Linked DNA regions of Anolis sagrei. The protein of the gene in region 3 interacts with the protein of the main gene of each other region in a pairwise test. Links are inferred from orthologs where the notes say so. Each region holds a gene or a part of one and is shown on either strand. Other genes may lie near its edges.

Region 1 (6,917 bases), on a different chromosome or scaffold from region 3:
AATATATAGCAGATACTCTTCTCCCTCCAAATATTTGGGAGGCATGTAACTTGGGTAGCATGTCCGTGTGTGTGCATTGGCATATCTTTATTCCTAACAGCTCAAAGAGATATTTAGGACATCAGTTAAACAGCCAAGGAACCTAGTTGCCTTGCACAATGCTGGTGAATGCCATTTTTCCAAAAGGTTATGACTCTAATCATAGAATCATAGAAGCATAAGAGTTGGAAGAGACCTCATGGGCCATCCAGTCCAACCCCCTGCCAAGAAGCAGGAATATTGCATTCAAAGCACCCCTGACAGATGGCCATCCAGCCTCTGTTTAAAAGCTTCCAAAGAAGGAGCCTCCACCACACTCCGGGGCAGAGAGTTCCACTGCTGAACGGCTCTCACAGTTCAAATGTAATCTCCTTTCTTGTAGTTTGAAGTCATTGTTCCGTGTCCTAGTCTCCAGGGCAGCAGAAAACAAGCTTGCTCCCTCCTCCCTGTGACTTCCTCTCACATATTTATACATGGCTATCATATCTCCTCTCAGCCTTCTCTTCTTCAGGCTAAATATGCCCAGCTCCTTAAGCCGCTCCTCATAAGTCTTGTTCTCCAGACCCTTGATCATTTTAGTCGCCCTCCTCTGGACACATTCCAGCTTGTCAATATCTCTCTTGAATTGTGGTGCCCAGAACTGGACACAATATTCCAGGTGTTCATGCTTTTTACCAAGAGGTTATGGCATTGTTTTTCAAAAGGATGTGACTTCTAACAAGGTCATGCCTTTCCAAAATCATAAAATCTCTGAAAATGTTAAATTTGAAGTCCAGTAATATCTGGATTGCTACAGGAAGCCCACTGGCTTTAGAGATCCATGTGCCGTGGCGGCTCATTTCACCCAAGAACCTTTTAAAGGAAGGCTTTACAAACAGTCTTCTCTTCCATACACAACAGTGGGATGGCGAAGGATACAACTTAGGGAGCAGTTCAGGGGCTGCATTTCTAGACTCCCTTCTTCCTATTCCAAGACAGATTTTTTAAAACAAGCATGGAGTTGGCATTTCATCACATTTAAGAATCAAAATGAGTAGAAGTGTGAAAGGATCGTGATCAGGGCAAGCGGAGACGCAGCTGCGTTTCTCATTATCACAGCCCTGTCTGAACCTGATAGGGTTGGAAATGCAAGAAGGGCCTTTGGGGGATGGGAAGGTGCTTCCAGATGCAGTTTTTCTTATCACTCTACCTCATTCATCAACCTCTCCTTGAGGTCCAGATACCATTGTCTTCAATGTGCAGCCTTCACGAGCGTTTCTCATTGTTTCATCCATTATTATGGATGGCGCAGTGGGTTAAACTCCTGTGCCGGCAGGACTGATGATCGACAGGTCGCAGGTTCGAATCCAGGGAGAACGTGGATGAACTCCCTCTAGCAGCTCCAGCTCCTCATGCGAGGACACGAGAGAAGTCTCCCACAAGGATGATAAAACATCAAAACATCCGGGCGTCCCCTGGGCAATGTCCTTGCAGACGACCAACTTGCTCACACCAGAAGCAACTTGCAGTTACTCAAGTGGCTCCTGACATGACCAAATAATAATAGTAGTAATAATAATAATAAATCCATTATTATTTTTCTTACCACAGAGTGCCCTAAAGAAGACAGTGGAGCGTTGCATAAAAGTGCCACTCCTTGTGAAAAGTAGACTTCTGTCTGGAAACTGGAGTGTTATGTGGTTTCCGGGCTGCATAGCTGTGTTCTGGCAGCATTTTCTCCTAACGTTTCACCTGAAGCTCCTCTGAAGACGCCAGGCACAGGTGCAGGCAAAACATTTGGGAAAAGCATGACCTTTGAGATCATAGGTAAAGGTTTTCCCCTGACATTAAGTCCTGTCAGGTCTGACTTTGGGGGTTGGTGCTCATCTCCATTTCTAAGCCGAAGAGCCGGCGTTGTTCATAGACACCTCCAAGGTGATGTGGCCAGAATGACTGCATGGAGCGCAGTTACCTTCCTGCTGGAGCAGCACCTATTGATCTACTCACATTTGCATGTTTTCGAACTGCTTGGTTGGCAAAAGCTGGGGCTGACAGCGGAAGCTCACCCCCCCCCCCCGGATTTGAACCTGCGACCTTTCGGTCAACAAGTTTAGCAGCTCAGCAGTTTAACCCACTGTGCCACCGGGGGCTCCTTTGAGATCCTAACCTTTTGGAAAACCAGAATCTCCAAAGCCTTTTGGAAGCATGACCAAGCGTTTGCACTGTGATTTTCAGCACAGCGATTGATTTCTCAGTGCAACAATGAACAATACAAATGGCAATTGGAATGGTTCCCGGCATATGTTTTTGGATTGTGTGATTTTAATCGATATGTTTTAATTCTGTATTTATTTATCATGTCATCAGCAATCAGACATTTTTAACAAAAACAAAACAAACACACAGACAGAACACAGAATTTGCAAGCTTGGTAGTTGCTTAAATGTCCTTTGACCAGTATCTGGCCACTTGGAGTGCCTCTGGTGTTGCCGCAAGGAGGTCCTCCTTTGTGCATGTAGCAGGGCTCAGGGTGCATTGCAGCAGGTGGTCAGTGGTTTGCTCTTCTCCACACTCGCATGTCGAGGATTCCACTTTGTAGCCCCATTTCTTGAGGTTGGCTTTGCATCTCGTGGTGCCAGAGCGCAGTCTATTCAGTGCCTTCCAAGTCGCCCAGTCTTCTGTGTGCCCAGGGGGCAGTCTCTCATCTGGTATCACCCATGGATTGAGGTTCTGGGTTGCCTGCCACTTTTGGACTCTTGCTTGCTGGGGTGTTCCAGCGAGTGTCTCTGTAGATCTTAGAAAACTATTTCTTGATTTAAGTCGCTGACGTGCTGGCTGATACCCAAACAGGGGATGAGCTGGAGATGTCACTGCCTTGGTCCTTTCACTATTGGCTGCTACTTCGTGGTGGATGTCAGATGGTGAAATACCAGCAAGACAGTAATTTCTCCAGTGGTGTAGGGTGCAGACATCCCGTGATAATGCGGCATGTCTCATTAAGAGCCACAACCACCGTTTTAGTGTGGTGAGATGTGTTCCACACCGGGCATGTATACTCAGCAGCAGAGTAGCATAGCACAAGGGCAGATGTCTTCACTGTGTCTGGTTGTGATCCCCAGGTTGTGCCAGTCCTGTGATTTTAAAGTATACGTTGTTTTATTTTTATATGTATTCAAGGCATCGAATTGTGCCTGTGTTGTGAGCCGCCATTAGTCCCCTTTGGGGTGAGAAGGGCGGGATATTAATGAGGCAAATAATAAAATAATAATTAATTGGCATTCACTACCATTTGGAATAATCATAACCCTTTTGTAAATTATTATCTCCCTGAGAAGAGCTAAATCTTCTCTTTAGTAGAAAATATCCACCAGTATTCATGCAAGGCAATTAGGTTTCTCAGTTGTTAGACTGATATACCTGGTTATCTCTTTGAACTGTTAGGGATAAAGATAAAATATATAGCAGATCTTCAGAAGTGTTGTTTCAGTTGCCCAAAAAAATCTACTCTCATAAAATATATTTGGTTTTAAATCATCCTCTCAAGAGACAAAAATAAGTAGTTTTCGTTAAAATAACATAGCTGGTTTACTTACAACTTCATGTATTCAGCATACAGGTGTATTGCTTATGAGTTGAAAGTTTAAACGGTAAACTGCATTCTGTTGCAGCCTCTTCTCTGTCTTATGTCTAATGCACAAGGAACTCACTCACTCACTCACTGACTGCGCTTTTGCCTGCCCGCCCCTTTGCTTCTCTTTACTCCAGCGGGGCGTTCTCTTCCCACCCTCTGCGGGAACCCTGCCTTGCGATTGGACGCCAGCGCCGGGAGAGCGCCTCCTCCTGGCATTCTCATTGGGCCGCGCCGCTGACGGACACCTTGGTTGCAATGGGCTTGTAAAGGGGGCTCTGCTCCTGAGAAGCTGGGAGCCAAAGGCAGAAGGCGCATATCCCCTGGAGCGCTGCTGCAGCCATCATGGGGGTGGACGTGGAGACCATCACCCCAGGAGACGGTATGGGGCCCAGCTCCCATTGCTTTGGCTGGGGAGGCTCTTTGGGGTTGGGGGGAGAGGGTGCTGTGGCTTTGGGGGGACAAGGAGACCTCTGCGCATGCGCGCCCCCTTTCAAATCTGATGGGGAGGCTTGTCTTTGCAAGGGCAGTTCTGCAGCAAAAGCTCCTTGAGGCTGTGTGTGGCCCCAATACACTGCCACTTAAAATCCAGGTTATCTGCTTTAAACCGGATTATATGCCAGTGTAGACTCAGGTAATCAGTTTCAAAGCAGATCATGTAGATTATCGGATTTGACATTATATGGCAGTGTAGACTCAGGTAATCCAATTCAGAGCAGATAATATGGATTATCTGATTTGATAATCAGGATTATATGGCAGTGTAGACTCAGATAATCCATTTCAAAGCAGACAATGTAGATTATCAGATTTGATATTCTGGATTATATGGCTAGACTCAGGTAATCCATTCAAAGCAGATAATGTGGATTATCTGATTTGATATTCAGGATTATATGGCAGTGTAGACTCAGGTAATCTATTCAAAGCAGATAATGTGGATTATCTGATTTGATATTCTGGATTATATGGCAGTGTAGACTCAGGTAATCCATTCAAAGGAGATAATGTGAATTATCTGATTTGATAATCTGTATTATATGGCAGTGTAGACTCAGATAATCCAGTTCAAAGCAGATTAGGTGGATCATCTGCTTTGATAATCTGGGTTAGATGGCAGTATAGAAGGGGTCTGTGTCTGCTTTTCAAACCTTTGCCAAGCGCATTGATGGTGCAGCTGCACTGTAGAATTGATGCAGTTTCATACCACCTAGATTACCAACTGTCATAGATCAGTTCTATGTAATTCTGGTAATTGTAGTCTCTCAAGGCACCAGCACCCTTTGGCACAGAAGGCTCAAGACCTTGGGAAACTACAATCCACAGTGCTGTGGAATCTGGGGGATTGTAGTTTCCCAAGGTCTTTAGACTTCAGTGCCAAAGGATGCTGGTGCTTCATGAGACTACAACTCCCACAATTACATAGCACTGATCCATTATGGTCGAATGGGTATCAAACTGCATCAGTTCTACAGTGCAGATGCACCCAAACTTTTCTGCAATTGACAAAAAAGGACCTAGTTCCTTCATGGTGTTTTTTTTTGGGGGGGGGGGAAGTGTTGTGGGGATGACTGGGGACCCTTCTACACTGCCATATAAAATCCAGTTTATTTGTTTTGAACTGAATTATATGGCAGTTATTTATTTGGTATCAAAAGTAAATTAGTATAAAACTGATAAAACGGAAGGCACGCAGGTGGCTAAATATCTTTTGATCAAAAACAGTCAACAGCAACGGCATTGTCTGTAGCCTCCAACAATTCCTCCTCTGTACGTGAAGCAGGGCACCATGGACAAGCATACAGATGCGGAGTTGTCTGTTCTGCTCCACAGTCACACAAGGTGTGGGATTCTTCGAGGTATATGGCAGTGTAGACTCATAATCTAGTTCAAAGAAGATACTGTGGATTATCTGAATTGATAATCAGGATTATATGGCAGTGTAGAAGGAGCCTGGGCTTAGTGACTCCCCAGAGTTGGGAATGGATCAGGAATGGAGGTGTGCCAAAGCGCAAAGGTGGTAAACACAAGAACCCTTGCATATCCCTAATATAAATAGGAAAAATGGGAGGCCGGAGGTGCAAGTCTCTATCCAAAGTCAGTGATCTAAATGAGTGGAAAAGCCCTGGAGGGCTCTGCAGGATGAAGGGGCTGCAGCCCTCTTGCTTTTCTGGCAGCCGCCAGCGATTAGGGATATTTAAATGGCATTTGCTGACAGCTGCATAAATCCAAGCAGGGTGAATTGATTTAGTAGCAGGAGCAAATGACAGTCCACTCTGCGCTTCCCTGCTTCCACTGTTCTGCAGACGGAGCCGGCACACATCCAACCACAATAACGTGAAGCAGGAGAACTTTTGCAGGAACCATAATCTTGATGATGGGATAAATGTCTGGTGGCAACGGTGGATGCAAAAATCCATGCTGACGCATAGTGACTGGCTATTTCAGCCCGCTTCTTGTCGCCTCTTTCACGGGAAGCAGCCACCTTGTTGATGATGGCAGAATTTTCCTGATGTGTGTGGCTTAATTTTAGAATATCTTGGTCGGATTCCAAAGTGGAGAGCACCATGCTGGATTTAACCCAGTCCCTGGCACAGAGGAAGCATCATCATTGCTTTTTTTGCTCCTTTTTAAATAGTCATGCGACCCTGGCTTGAATGCAAAACCTGTGATTCCTGAATACAATTGTTGGCGTTTTAGCTACTTCTCAGAGAGTTTTAATACAAAAAAAATATTGCTAGCTTGTATCCTCAATTGGGATGTAACTCATCCAGGTTCAGAGGCGGCATACCTGTTAATACTAATCAGGGAATAATAGTGGGGGAGAACTATTGACTTTCTAAAAGGCATTTATTTGAAAAATAGGATGCTTGGTTAAGTATCACATAGGGTACATCTGCACTGTAGAATTAATGCAGTTTGACACCACTTAAACCTTCATGGCTCAGTGCTATGGAAGCATGGGAGTTGTAGTTTGGTGAGTCACCAGCACTCTTTGATAGAGCAGATAGTAATATTACAACTCCTGTGACTCTATAGCATTACATTATGGTTGTTAAGGTGGTGCCAAACTACATTCATTTTACAGTGTAGCCGCACTCATGGATCAAATCCTTGGAGACTTCCCTGTATACTTTTGGATAGCCAAACAGCATTCAGTTTATTGTCAAAGGCTTTAATGGCTGGAATCACTGAGTTGCTGTAGGTTTTTTGGGCTATATGGCTATGTTCTAGAAGCATTCTCTCCTGATGTTCCACCTGCATCTATGGC
Region 2 (7,198 bases), on a different chromosome or scaffold from region 3:
GGTACTATTGATTACTCACATTTGCATGTTTTCGAATTGCTAGGTTGGCAGAAGCTTGGGCTAACAGTGGTATCTCACGCTGCTCCCCGCATTCGAACTTGCAACTCAGAGCTTTAATCCAGTATATATATATATATATATATATATATATATATATATATATATATATATATATCAGCAGTTCTTAAAATGTACTCCACCGAGCCCTTGACATTTTAGTATAGTCAACATCACAACCAGGTTTTCTACATGGTCCAGTTCCTTGTACAAAATATGCGTAATGCATCTGAATAAAGGCTTATTTATGTTGGTAACATGTAAGGGTATAGAGATCATTTGGTGTTTTTGTGATCACCCATTCTTCACTTCTTGGAGCTTATGAGACAAAGTATTTATTGCCTCAGAAATTATCACACTTGTGAAGTTGGTGGTGTGCATGAAATTGTGCATACCTATTAAACATGCAGAGCTAAAAATGTGGTTCCTTACAATAGTTTTCACACCCTCTAATGGCTTTGCATAAAATTACAAGTTTTTTGGGAATTGTGAAAGAGACTGTAAATATAAAACTGAAACTAAGCTAGAAAAAGGAGCCACCATGCTGTAACGACCTGGGTGTTGGACAAAGCCTCCGAAGATATGATCCATATAAAACGGTGCCCCTCTAAGGGCTGTAGTGTAGTTGGCCTAAGGATAGCACCTCCCTCTTATCAAACTGTGACTTATGTTGGTCAGAACGCTGAACAGTAGAAGAACAGCTCTTGGAAAGTTACTTTGAGGAAGAATGGATATAATAACATGTTGAAGCCATCCATAACTGAGCGACGGTAGAATAATGCTCCGAACACTCAGTTACGGATGATTTCAGCATGTTATTATATCCGTTCTACTTCAAAGTCATTGACCAAGACCTGGAGAAGGGGAAATGTTTCTCTTCTCCTTCTCTCTTCTTTTTTGAAAGACAGAACAGAGATCAGTCCTGGAGAGGAACCATCTGGGAAGTGGAATTTTTAGGTCTCCTGATTATAGACTTTTGAATTTGTTTAATTAACCCAAATGCTCCCTTTGGGCTAATCATAAATTCATTGCCTTTGTTAAATTCCATATGGTGTCTACTAGCATCTTAATGCAAAGCATTACTGCAATGCCTTTAAGTTGGCATTTTTAAATTAATATGAATTTTTTATTCACTCCTGAGGTTAATATTTATGGATTAATCTTCTAAATACAGGTTTTTAAAAGGCAGAAAGTTAGCAACATGAACTAAAAGCCCCTGTACATGAAATAAAAGATCTGATTCAGAATATATAAAATATGAAGGGACCAAAAATAGCTTTGAAGTCTTGATTAAAATACCAACCATAGCTGTTCTCCTAATTCATAACAACTGACTTAAACGAAATATTAGAGAGAGAGAGAGGGAGGGAGGATGCTTGAACTGGCCAATCGTACTTTAAAATATATGTATCAGCTATGGGTCGCATGCTACTTCCCTGTTTTTATATCTTATTTACCATGTCTTCAAGAAACTTAAAAAGGGTGTAGTCTAGATGTTATATGTAAAGTTGACATGTTGGGGAAAATGCATTTTGATTAGCTATAACTAGCATAAGTCCAATTCATTTCATAATAAACCTGGATTTATCCCTTTGTCTAAAATGTAAAGATCAATTTACCGAAACATTTGCATATTTCACATCTATGTAATAAAATGTCAGACAAGGCATACATAAGAGTTTATAGTTATATATATAATGGCTGTATAGCCGGCAATTAACTCCACAGGGTAAATAATATCATTGATCATAACAGACAGATATGCTAGAAGGGTTAAGCCAACCATGCCAATTTACTTTGTATGTGATGGGCTGATAAGTATATTCCACTAAACACTGGATTCAAATGCCAAATATGTTTCAAATCAGGACCAAACTGATACTAGATAATAGATACAGTTCTACCTGTGACAAATTGCAGTTTGTTCAACTATCTTTTCAGTTTTAGGGCAATAAACACCAAGTTCAGTTGTACACTATGGGTCTATTTATTTCTGTAATATACGTAGTATGAGCAGAACTTGTAACTTAGTATTTTAGCGCCAGTGCATTTTGAAGGGTTGTGGTGGTCTTGGTAAACAGGAATGCAAAAAGAAGTGTCTTAGCAAGGAAGTCATGTGTATGAGGCATTAGACTGAATCCTACTTACGTTCACAAGCATGATTGTTTTTAAAAAATGATCAACATGTTTGAGATGAGATTTCAGATATTATTAACGGGTGATTCATTGTGTCCTGACTTCTCTGATCCACCTTGCTACATTTACTGGCAATGAGTTCGCACAAGCAATCTCAGAGCACTTCCAGACAACACCAAATTGCGGATTTTCTATGGGGCAAAAAAACAAGGACCTGAGAGCAGGTCCGCACACAGACCTGTAGATGCCAAGATTTGTGCTTGTAACATTCGGACTTGCTGCTGTGTTCCAGGATTTAGAAGCCTGCAAGATGGCTACTGTGGGATGTCCACTGGAAATTCCAGCTGATTAAAAAAAATGTTAATGCACTGATGTAAATATGTGCATTGTTCATACAAGTTTTGTTCCCGGGATATATATGTCAGTTCCCCATTGGTTCCATCATAAAAACCTGGCAAAAGTTGATTACAGGGCAAAAACTTAGTCCTGGCAAGAGGAACATTGTTGTCCACCCATTTATCAAAGTTTGGAACATACAAATAAAGTTTTTGCTGTGTAATTAACTTTCCCCATGTTTTTACAATAGAAGCAATGAGGAACCGATATTTATAACCCGAGAAACAAACTAACATAAAAACTCCCGCATTTTCTGAGTGCAGAGACACATAGAGATTTGAAAATCTGAATCTTCTGCCAGAACCAGGATATTCCTGCACTACTTTATCTTGGTTTTTTGGCTTTGTAGCAATTGCGCCTGCATTTTCAGTTGACATCGTCTAGCCACCCTCTATTTTGAACTGGGAGCTCCTGAGATAAAGGTACTGTGTGGATGGGTCCTCAGACAGTTGGGGAAGTTACTGTTTTGGTCTATATTTCCCAAGATTTTCCTGCCAGCATGACCTCTGAGGACTGTAGCAAAAGGAATCGAAAATGGGTCAACAAAAATTGGCCAGTTTGGAAAAACTCTGCTAATGGTCAACATCAAATACAACCCTTTTACAGCATCAGTGTATAATACAACCACATAACTGGTACCCATGGTTTCATCTACATGCATCCAATAAAGTGTATCACCTCTAGGTATGTTCTGGGTCCTCCAAATAACTCTATGGTATTTACTATAGAGTTGCATTGGAGTACTTCATACATTTCTGGAGAGGATACCTCTCAGGAATTTTGTAGTTTCTCTAGAATGACTCTATGGAAACTTCTGGTGGAAATTTAGTTGGATTCACAATTGTCTATGGTTTCCACAGTAGGTTAAGAAATGTAAACTATGTGGACAGGCCTGTAGCCGAAGGGAGGGGGGGGGTTAGGGGTTCAACCCCCCCTTCGAAATTTTTCAGGTTAAAAAAAAACCTGGTTTACTCATGAATTTTAACTAGTTAACCAAATTCCCATTCTAAGTCTATGAGATGCAAAAAATTAAGAGAACTGCAAGCACTATCCCGAACTACTACTCCAGAACTGCAAGCACTATCTCAACCAAATATTGACAATTTATTCACATTGTCATTACTTGCAGCAATAGCCAATTCAGTGAAGCAACCAAGTTGGGGGGGGGGGTGTTGAATGCTCTCATTAAAGAGGCCAGACTTGGTGGAGGTGGTTGACAGGGGCGGAGCTGCAGGCTATTGAAGGCTGCTCTGTCCCCTGATGTGCTCTTTGCTTCAGTGTGAGCTAGGAGGCATGTTTCAACATCCCTGAAATTTTCAAAACCCCCCCCCCCCTGAAATTTTCAACCCTCCCCGAATTTTTTTTCTGGCTATGGCCCTGCCTGTGGATATGGGGGTCATGCTGTAATCTCGTCAACTCATGCTCTAATTTGAAATTCTGATACACTGAAAAGTTACTGAGCACCAGCATTGAGTCACATTGTGCAATAGCTCAACGATAAAATAAGCTGACCTACCCTTTGGAAATAATCCAGAAACTGCTGGAGGTTGAAGAGCAAGTGATGTGTGTGAAAGGTTTATGGCTGAGTGCTACTAAGAACTGAACATTGATTTTTGAAAGAAAAAAAACACAACACAAATTGTTCCACCCCTTCTATGCCTCTCAGTCTCACATTTACCCTCAAGTATTTTTAAAAGGAAACATTCTTTCTAGGGAATGTGTCTGGCATAGCCCTCCATTGGCAGTCCCGTGACTATGGCATTCTCCTCTCTAACTCCAGTCTTTGTGGCAATTATCTGCGTCTTGATTGGAATAATAGTCAAAGGCAGAAGGACAAACTCCAAGAATGAGCCAAGGCAAACAAGTAAGAAAGTGGAGTCTCGTCCATGGGTGGATGATGATTTAAAAGACAGCACTGACCTTCACCCTGAGGAAGAAGGTATGTAAAAAAGTGAAAAGGGTTTGGCATTTGTATGCCTGTGTTTTTCTAGTCTCGGGAGGAAATGAAAAACATGGCCTTTTCAAACATTTTAGGGTGTTGTTGAGGAATTGTAAGTAGTTGGAATCCATCTCTTGAAGTTGACAAGAAAATGAATAACAGTGATGGTGGGGAAGCATAGCATAAATACATTGCTTCAGCGTAACATCAATGCGTGCTTGGCAGAGTTACATTATGTTGTCCCTGTACCGAATATCAACACAGCACAATGTATGTGGATGAATTGCGAAGTTTGTGTCTGTCAAAAGATGCTAAATGCAATAGAAAAAACAATGCATAGAGGCAAAACACTGATTGCATGTGTATTACTGTGCAATGCTCCCACATGTACAACTCTATTTCACTGCCATGAGTTGGATGTGACTGTTGTGCATGTCCCCTAAAAAAAAAATCACTCCACAAGTATAGTACAATTTACACTGATAGATGTTATTAACAAGATCCTGGCTAGTGTGTTTTTGATTTTAAAATATACAGCTCACAGATTCCAAGAGGAGAAAAAATGGGGGTTGGGAAACGTATTTGTTTTGCAAACCTCGTGCTGGTTAGGAGATTCTGAGGCCCCTTCTACACTGCCCAGGATCTGATCCCAGATTATCTGCTTTAAACTGGATTATATGATTCTCCACTGCCAGATAATCTGGGATAAACTGATAAACTGGGATCCAGTCCTGGGATATAGGGGCAGTGTAGAAGGGGCCTGAGAATTGTCCTCAGTATAAGTAACTTTCCCAAGTTCTGGGAAGAACGAAATGGCAATGATAGCTTTCCTATCCATAGTGCCTCCTATATGGACATCTGGTATCTCTAGGTGGTGAAGGGTTTGACTGGCAAAAGAAAGCATGCTGATGAAGGTTAAGCAGTGGTTCTCAACCTGTGGGTCCCCAGGTGTTTTGGCCTACAACTCCCAGAAATCCCAGCCAGTTTACCAGCTGTTAGGATTCCTGGGAAGTGAAGGCCAAAACATCTGGGCACCCACAAGTTGAGAACTACTGGATTAAGGGGAAGGAAGGATGGAGAGCAGAATTATCACCGATGCAAATTTATATTCCATATTGATATTGCAATCCCACAAATATCTATGAAAACAGAGGGTCTTCCACACAGCCATATAACCCATAATATCAAGGCAGATAATCCACTTTCTGCTTTGAACTGGATTATCTGAGTCCACACTGCACTGTGATCCTGTTCAATGTGGATTTTATGTAGCTGTGTGGAAGGAGCCAAAAGTAGCATAGAGTTTAGTGGGTAAATGAGAACAGCTGGCTCTTCATATCCACAGATTCTGCATCCATGGGTCCCATCATCCACAGCTCAAAATATTTTAAAACTTTTGGTATCCTCAGGGAATCCTAGATCAGGAGGACCCACTGTATAGAACTGCATCTGAAACCATATTATGCACAGTAGCTAGCATCTTGTTGCGGCACACATTAAAAAGGTATTTAGTACTGATCAGATGGATTCTGAATCAAGAATAACATTTTATGACCAGCTATAACTGGATTGGGTTTTTCCTACAACTGTTTTTTTTAAGCACAAACGTTTATGCTTTCTGCTTTGAAAAATACCACTAAATCAGTCTAATATATCCTATGAGCATGCCAGATGGAAAATATGTCAGTTTCATACTCCATACAAGTATGCCACATAATGGATGTAAATAGATTCTAAACAGCAATAGTAATTATCCTTGTGTCCAGAACAAAAAGCAAACAAGCAGATTTTGAAATCTGGGAATGTGGCAATGCTAAATAAAACCCTCTTTTTCCAATTCACTTCTCAGGGCCCATCTACATTGCCACATAATCCAAAATATCAAGACAGATAATCCACATTATCTGCTTTGAACTGGATTATATAGCAGTGTAGACTCATATAATCCAGTTCAAAGCAAATAATGTGGATTTTCTGATTTGATAATCTGGATTATATGGCAGTGTAGAAAGGGCTTCAGTTTTTTTATTGAAACAATCCAAATCACAAATATGCTTTTAAAACATTTACCTTTAGATTAAAATAGCTTTTGGAAGGAGAATGTTTTAAAATAAGGTAGTTACCTGAATTTTGTAAGAAACATGTGAAACTGTGTATAACAACAAATCCTATTAAAATCAAGGACTTACAGCCAGGAATGCTATAGAGCAGTGTTTCTCAACCTTCCTAATGCCATGACCCCTTAATACAGTTCCTCATGTTGTGGTGATTCCCCCCAATCATAACATTATTTCTGTTGCTACTTCATAACTGTAATTTTGCTACTGTTATGAATCATAATGTAAATATCTGATATATATGATGTATTTTCATTCACTGGACCAAATTTTGGCACAAATCCCTGATACGCCCACATTTGAATACTGGTGGGGTTGGGGGAGTGGCATTGATTTTCTCATTTGGGAGTTGTAGTTGCTGGGATGTATAGTTCACCTACAATCAAAGAGGATTCTGAACTCCACCAATGATGGAATTGAACCAAACTCGGCACACAGAACTCCCATGACCAACAGGAAATACTGGAAGGGTTTGGTGGGCATTGACCTTGAGTTTTGGAGTTATAGTTCACCTAAATCCAAAGAGCACTGCAGACTCAAACGATGGATCTAG
Region 3 (7,341 bases):
AATGACCAATCTCAATAAAATAGTGTAGAGACATCACACTGGCAACAAAGATCGGCATATTTAAAGCAATGGTATTCCCCGTAGTTACCTATGGATTTGAGAGCTGGACCACAAGGATGGCTGAGCAAAGGAAGAGAGATGCTTTTGAACTGTGGTGTTGGAGGAAAATTCTGAGAGTGCCTTGGACCGCAAGAAGATCCAACCAGTCCATACTCCAGGAAATAAAGCCAGACTGCTAACTGGAGGGAAGGATAGTAGAGGCAAAGATGAAGTCCTTTGGCCACATCATGAGAAGACAGGAAAGCTTAGAGAAGGGAATGATGCTGGGGAAAATGGAAGGAAAAAGGAAGACGGGCCTACCCAGGACAAGATGGAGGGATGGCATCCTTGAAGTGACTGGCTTGACTCTGACGGAGCTGGGGGAGGTGACGGCCAACAGGGAGCACTGGCCTGGTCTGGGCCAGGAGGTCACAAAGAGTCGGAAGCGACTGAACAAATAAACAACAACAACAGAGTCAATCAAATCTTATTACAAACTAGCCGTCCCCTGCCACACATTGCTGTGGCCCAGTCTGTGTATATGTGTTTTGTGTGTGTATATATGTGTATATATTTGTGTATATGTATATATATGTGTGTATATGTGTGTATGTGTGTGCGTGTGCCTGTGAGACGTGGACTGTCTACAGATGTCACATGCAACTCCTGGAATGATTCCATCAGCGTTGCTCCAGAAAATCCTGCAAATCTCTTGGAAAGACAAGCAGACAAATGTCAGCATGCTGGAAGAAGCAAAGACCACCTGCACTGAAGCGATGGTCCTCCGCCATCAACTCCGCTGGACTGGCCACGTTGTCTGGACGCCTGACCACCGTCTCCCAAAGCAGCTCTACTCTTCAAGAACGGAAAATGGAATGTTGACGGGCAGGAAAAGAGATTGAAAGAAGGGCTCAAAGCTAACCTCAAAAACTCTGGCATAGACACTGAGAACTGGGAAGCCCTGGCCCTTGAGCGCTCCAGCTGGAGGTCAGCTGTGACCAGCAGTGCTGCAGAATTTGAATAGGGAAGAATAGAGGGTGAAGGAGAGAAACATGCCAAGAGGAAGGTGCATCAAGCCAACCCTGACCGAGACCGCCTGTCACCTGGAAACTGATGCCCTCACTGCAGGAGAAGATGCAGATCAAGAATAGGACTCCACAGTCACGTACAGATCCACGGCATACTACACACTGACCCTGGAGGACCATCATCCTCAGACAACGAGGGATCGCCTAAGTAAGTAAGGAAATAAAGTGTATGTGTGGTTTTGCGCATGTGTTGTAATGTATTTTTATGGGATTTTTTGCTTTTTAGTCCCTTCTGCTGTGTTTTTCAGTGTTTTAATTAGTGATGGTCATTCATTGGCCTGAGATGTGAATTGAGGCCTCACTTCAAGATCTTTGTCATTCAGAGAAAGAGCGGAAAAGAATCATTGGAAGCCAGGTAGAACCTTCAGGAAAACAATTGGCCAGTGGCAGTTATGTCATAGGATTCTAAAGCTGCCTAATAGAAAGGCAGAGCTGGAAGGAGCAGCTTGGACAAGGTTAGCTCAAAAACAGAGGTGAATCTGTAAGAAATGGACTAGGGGGGGAAAAGGACCGTCTAGAAAAGGATAAGGACTTGCTTGGACAAGGCTAGCTCAAAAATAAAAGGTGAGTCAGTAAGAAATGAACAGGGAAATAAACAGGAACGCAAAAGAGGAGCACTCTCAGCCTTACTATGAAAATATTTAATAACTAGCTGTACCCACCATGCTGTACCCTCTTTCTCTCCTTCCTTCATTCCCTCTTTCCTTCCTTCCTTTTCTTCTTTCCTTCTCTCCTTCCTTCTCTACCTATTTCCTTCTCTCCTTCGCTTTGTTTCCATACTTCCTTCTCTCTTTCCTTCTTTCCTTCCCTCCTTCTTTCTCTCCCCCTTTTCCTCCTTTCTTCTTTACCTCTTTCCTTCTTTTGCTTTGTTTCCAGCCTTCCTTCTCTCTTTCATCCTTTCCTTCCCTCCTCCTTTCTCTCCTTCCTTTGCTCCCTCTTTCCTTCCTTTTTCTTCTTTCCTTCTCTCCTTCCTTCTTTACCTCTTTTCTTCCTTCCTTTGTTTTGTTTCCATCCATCCTTCTCTCTTTCCTTCTTTCCTTCTCTATTCCTTCCCTTCTTTCCTTCCTTCGCTTTGTTTCCATCCTTCCTTCTCTTTCTCTCTTTCCTTCCTTTTTCTTCTTTTCTTCTCTCCTTCCGTCTCTACTTCTTTCTTTCCTTCCTTTGCTTTGTTTCCATCCTTCCTTCTCTTTCCCTCCTTCCTCTTTCTTCTTTCCTTCTCTCCTTCCTCCTTTACCTCTTTCCTTCCTTCACTTTTTCCATCCTTCCTTCTCTTTCCCTGTCTCCTTTCTTCCTTTTTCTTCTTTCCTTCTCTCCTTCCTTCTCTACCTCTTTCCTTCCTTCCTTCGCTTTGTTTCCATCCTTCCTTCTCTCTTCCCTTCTTTCCTTCCCTCCCTCTTTCGCTCCTTCTTTCCCTCTTTCCTTCTCTATCTCCCTTTCTTTCTTTCTTTCTTTCTTTCTTTCTTTCTTTCTTTCTTTCTTTCTTTCTTTCTCCCCTTTCTCCCCTTTCTTCCTTCCCTCCCTCTTCCTTCCCTTTTTTTCTGCATTGTCATTTAGCTTTTTGTCATTTAGCTTGTTTTGATTTTTAAGTCCTTTCTGCTGCTGGTTTTCTTTGGGGAGGGGGGTTATGAGTGATGGTCACTCATTGGTCCATTAGGGGTTTAGTGTCCAAATTTCATGTCAATTCATCTAGTGGTTTTTGAGTTATGTTAATCCCACAAACAAACATTACATTTTTATTTATATAGATGTTGCTGAACTCGGTCTAAACCAGGATTAGCATCTAGCTCATTTCTGATGCTAATAATTCTGGCCACACTTTTCCAATGTAATATTAATGCCAAATGCCCAGATAGATGGCTGACAATCTCTTTAATTCAAATCCAGGACAGATACTTAATTGTCTGGGGTGTCTTTAGGCTCTTTCCCACCCACCATAGAACATGAGAATAGTACTTCTAGCATATCTCAGCCCCAAGCAATAGTTACCTATCAATAGACAAATGGCAGTTCCCAATTTTCATGACTTATTTTGTAAGCTTACTTAATGTATTTTCTACCTTGCCATATAGATTATAGATAGCTGCTCTTTGTTTCTTACATGATTTAAAAAAAAATTGCATGTGTTATTATTGTTCTGTATCACATCAAAATCTTCATATGGATTTGCAATTAAATACATAAACTGGGGAGAGGTAAGAAATAGTTTTAAGATAGTCCCATGTCCTCGCATGGGAAGGTAGAGCTGATAGATGGGTGCTCACCCTGTCTCACAGATTCAAACCGCCGACCTTCAGACTAGCAGTTCAGCCAGCACAAGGGCTTAACTCATTGCGCAAACGTGGCTCCATATGTCAAACGACATACGGCAGCCATACTCCTGTCTACAATTTCTTTACATGAGTATCAATCATTATTACGAGGGTTGAATGAAAATTAATGCCTCCACCTTCATAACTCCTCAACAGATGGCAGTACTGGTATGCGGCAGGTATTGGTTTGTTCAGTAGACTCTCCTCTACAGTTCCATTTTGACAGGAAGCCTTAGCATTGAACAGTTGTGTTGTTAAAGTGCGAAGTATGGAACCCTGCGCAGACAGTCGGTAAATATGACTTAAGCAACGTGTAGGCATTGAATTCTTGACAGCAGAAGATGCCACCTCAACATCTTCAAACTTACTTGCCCAGTGACACACAATACTCACATCAACACAGTCACCATAAACAACTTGCATTCTCAGATGAATCTCCTGTGGGGTGACACCTTCAATGACTGCACGTTGCTTAAGTTGCATTGACCGACCGTCTGCGCAGGGTTCCATACTTAGCACTTTAACAACACAACTGTTCAATGCTAAGGCTTTCCACCAAAATGGAACTGTAGAGGAGAGTCTACTGAACAAGCCAGTACCTGCCGCATAGCAGAACTGCCATCTGTTGAGGAATTACGAAGGTGGAGCCATTACTTTTCTGCTAAGGCTTCCTGCCAAAATGGAACTGTAGAGGAGAGTCTACTGAACAAGCCAGTACCTGCTGCATAGCAGTACTGCCATCTGTTGAGGAGTTATGAAGGTGGAAGCATTACTTTTCATTCAACCCTCGTATATTTCAAAGTTATGAAAAACACTTCTACATTGACATAAAGATTGAACTTTAATTCCACTCCTTTTTTCCCCTTGACAGAGCAGCAACTTTAAGCATTTTCTTTCTGAGACCATGTCCACCTCTACCAGCAAAAACCCTTCCACGTCCTCCTTTGTTTCAATCCACGAAAGACCAATCTTCCAGGGTCCTTCCGATACGTCATGGGAGCTGCATGCGGATGATTTCACCAAGGAATTGTCCTGCGGTGTGTGTCTAGAACTGTTCAAGAACCCGGTTATCCTGTCCTGTGGCCATAACTTCTGTAGGGATTGCCTAGAAGACTTATGGAAGAAAAAGGGCATCTTCTGTCCACAATGCCACGCGAGTGTCCCCGATCGAAAGTACATCTCGAACACCGCCCTGGAGAAGATGGCGGATAGGATTAAGACCTACCACGTGGGGTGCCTGCAACAGAAGTGCATCGAACACAGCGAGCCGATGACTCTCTACTGGAAGACGCAAGAAAAACTCGCCTGCTTCACCTGCCGGGAAACTCTGCTACCCAAAGAGCAATGCACACAGTTCCTTCTCATTCCAGATGCTGTACAGATCTTTACGGTAACTCTCATGCCATCACCAGTCTATATAAATAAAAATGTAATGTTCGTTTGTGGAATTAACATAACTCAAAGACCACTGAACGAATCACTGCCATATTTGGCCACAAGACACCTACTCACCCAAGGAGTGACCATCACCCAAAAAATTGGGTTGTTGTAGCTTTTTCGGGCTATATGGCCATGTTTTAGAGGCATTCTCTCCTGACGTTTCGCCTGCATCTACCTCAGAGGTAGTGAGGACTGTTGGAACGAGGAAAATTGGTTTATATGTCGGTGGAATGACCAGGGTGGGACAAAGGACTCTTGTCTGTTGGAGCTAGATGTGGATGTTTCAACTGACCACCTTGATTAGCTTTTGATGGCCTGGCAGTGCCTGGAGCAATCTTTTGTTGAGAGGTGATTAGATGTGCCTGATTGTTTTCCCTCTGCTGTTTTGCTGTTTTAATTTTAGAGTTTTTTAATACTGGTAGCCAGATTTTGTTAAGGAGGAAACCATGAAAATGAACAAAATCTGGCTACCGGTATTAAAAAAATCACTGAGAAGGCCCTGTCTCTCGTCCTTGCCAAACGCGCCTGTGATGGTGGTGGGACCGAGAGCAGGGCCTCCCCAGAAGATCTTAATCTCTGTGGTGTTTCATAGGGGGAGATGCATTCGGATAGGTAAATGGCCGGGGCCATTTAGGGCTTTATAGGCCAAAGCCAGCACTTTGAATTGTGCCCAGTAGCAAACTGGCAGCCAGTGGAGCTGGTGTAACATGGGAGTTGTGTGCTCCCTGTACGCCGCCCCAGTTATTAGCCTGGCTGCCTCTCACTGGACTATTTGAAGCTTCCGAGCAGTCTTCAAAGGCAACCACACGTAGAGGGCGTTGCAGTAATCTAACCTAGATGTGACAAGAGCATGGACCACCATGGCCAAGTATGAATTTCCAAGGTATATAAGCAGTATAGATAGATAGATAGAGTAATGGAATTATTATTATTATTATTATTATTATTATTATTATTATTATGAATGTATCCTAGGCCAAAAAAACACCAGGAAAGCATCCACCTAATAAAGATTCTCTAGAATGCCTATCTATCTATCTATCTATCTATCTATCTATCTATCTATCTATCAGCAGTATAGATAGATAGATAGATAGATAGAGAGAAAATGTAATAGAATTATTATTATTATTATTATTATTATTATTGATAATAATAATATTTTATTTATACCATGCCACCATCTTCCATAGGGACTTGGTACGTCTTATATATAGCACACATGATGCCACACCACACATAAAATACAGTATATCAACATTGAAAACATTAAAAATACAATAACATATTTAAAACCAAACATATAAAATTGACAGAAGTTAAATATAGAATTATTCATTGAATGTCCAAATTGAAAATGTTGATGTCACTATTTTACTTAGGTGTGATGACTTACCTATTCTATAACATTCTTTGTGACTATTTACCCACAGGAAAAGTTGCTCATGATGAGAATTCAGCTCAGATCCATCTTGGTGAAGTTGGAGGTGTTGAAGAATGCCCAGGAAGAAAAGATCAGTAACCACAAAGTGAGTATCATTGATTCAGTAGATCTCTACTTGAATATCTTACTGTTGAGTATTTTAGGTGATGGAAACTTGTGTTTTGTACTTCTGAAGCAAAGGAACACACTGGGGACATTATCACCTGAAGCTGTCAGATGTTGGCTCCCTAGATTAAAAAAAAAAACCAACTTACCACCACATGACATTACCCTAAACCAGTGATTCCCAATCTTTAGTCCTCCAGGTGTTTTGGACTTCAGCTCCCACGATTCCTAACAGCTGGTATGCTGGCTGGGACTTCTGAGAGTTGAAGTCCAAAACATCAGAGGGACCAAATGTTGGCCTAAACCCACTGAAAACCAATCTTCAAGGTGTGTTGAGTAAACAAAAATTGTATTTCCCCATTTTCGGCTCCTGAATTATTATTCAGAAAACTTTAGAAAGCAATTTCTGCCATGCAGTATCATGAATGAAATGCAAAGATACAGAAAGAGGGACATGTGGCTCAAAAGCAGTATGTGTGAAAAAGATATTGGAGTCCTCGTGGACAACAAGTTAAACATGAGCCAACAATGTGATGCGGTGGCAAAAAAAGCCAACTGGATTTTGGCCTGCACCAATAGGAGTATAGTGTCTAGATCTAGGGAAGTCATGATACCCCTCTATTCTGCCTTGGTTAGACCACACCTGGAATCACACTGTGTCCAGTTCTGGGCACCCCAATTGAAGAGAGATATTGACAAGCTGGAATGTGTCCAGAGGAGGGCGACTGAAATGATCAAGGGTCTGGAGAACAAGCCCCATGAGGAGCGGCTTAAAGAGCTGGGCATGTTTAGCCTGAAGAAGAGAAGACTGAAAGGAGACATGATAGCCATGGATCAAGATGTGAGGGGAAGTCATAGGGAGGAGGGAGCAAGTTTGTTTTCTGCTGCTTTGGAGACTAGGACACAATGGAACAAT

Evidence for each region.
Region 1: the proteins of TRIM69 (region 3) and FKBP1B interact in binary tests that used the Homo sapiens proteins (3 or more experiments, as listed by UniProt). The two-hybrid records come from large-scale screens. The link is inferred for Anolis sagrei from reciprocal best matches to the Homo sapiens genes TRIM69 and FKBP1B.
Region 2: the proteins of TRIM69 (region 3) and IYD interact in binary tests that used the Homo sapiens proteins (3 or more experiments, as listed by UniProt). The two-hybrid records come from large-scale screens. The link is inferred for Anolis sagrei from reciprocal best matches to the Homo sapiens genes TRIM69 and IYD.

The regions. Positions count from the first base shown.
Region 1 is NC_090021.1:139,422,444-139,429,360, forward strand, and holds the start of FKBP1B (peptidyl-prolyl cis-trans isomerase FKBP1B), read left to right. Parts: upstream 1-3,895; 5' UTR 3,896-3,991; coding exon 3,992-4,028; intron 4,029-6,917. UniProt on the Homo sapiens protein: Has the potential to contribute to the immunosuppressive and toxic effects of FK506 and rapamycin. PPIases accelerate the folding of proteins. It catalyzes the cis-trans isomerization of proline imidic peptide bonds in oligopeptides.
Region 2 is NC_090021.1:73,065,820-73,073,017, reverse strand, and holds the start of IYD (iodotyrosine deiodinase 1), read left to right. Parts: upstream 1-4,176; 5' UTR 4,177-4,344; coding exon 4,345-4,528; intron 4,529-7,198. UniProt on the Homo sapiens protein: Catalyzes the dehalogenation of halotyrosines such as 3-bromo-L-tyrosine, 3-chloro-L-tyrosine, 3-iodo-L-tyrosine and 3,5-diiodo-L-tyrosine.
Region 3 is NC_090029.1:25,772,413-25,779,753, forward strand, and holds the start of TRIM69 (E3 ubiquitin-protein ligase TRIM69), read left to right. Parts: upstream 1-4,340; coding exon 4,341-4,826; intron 4,827-6,309; coding exon 6,310-6,405; intron 6,406-7,341.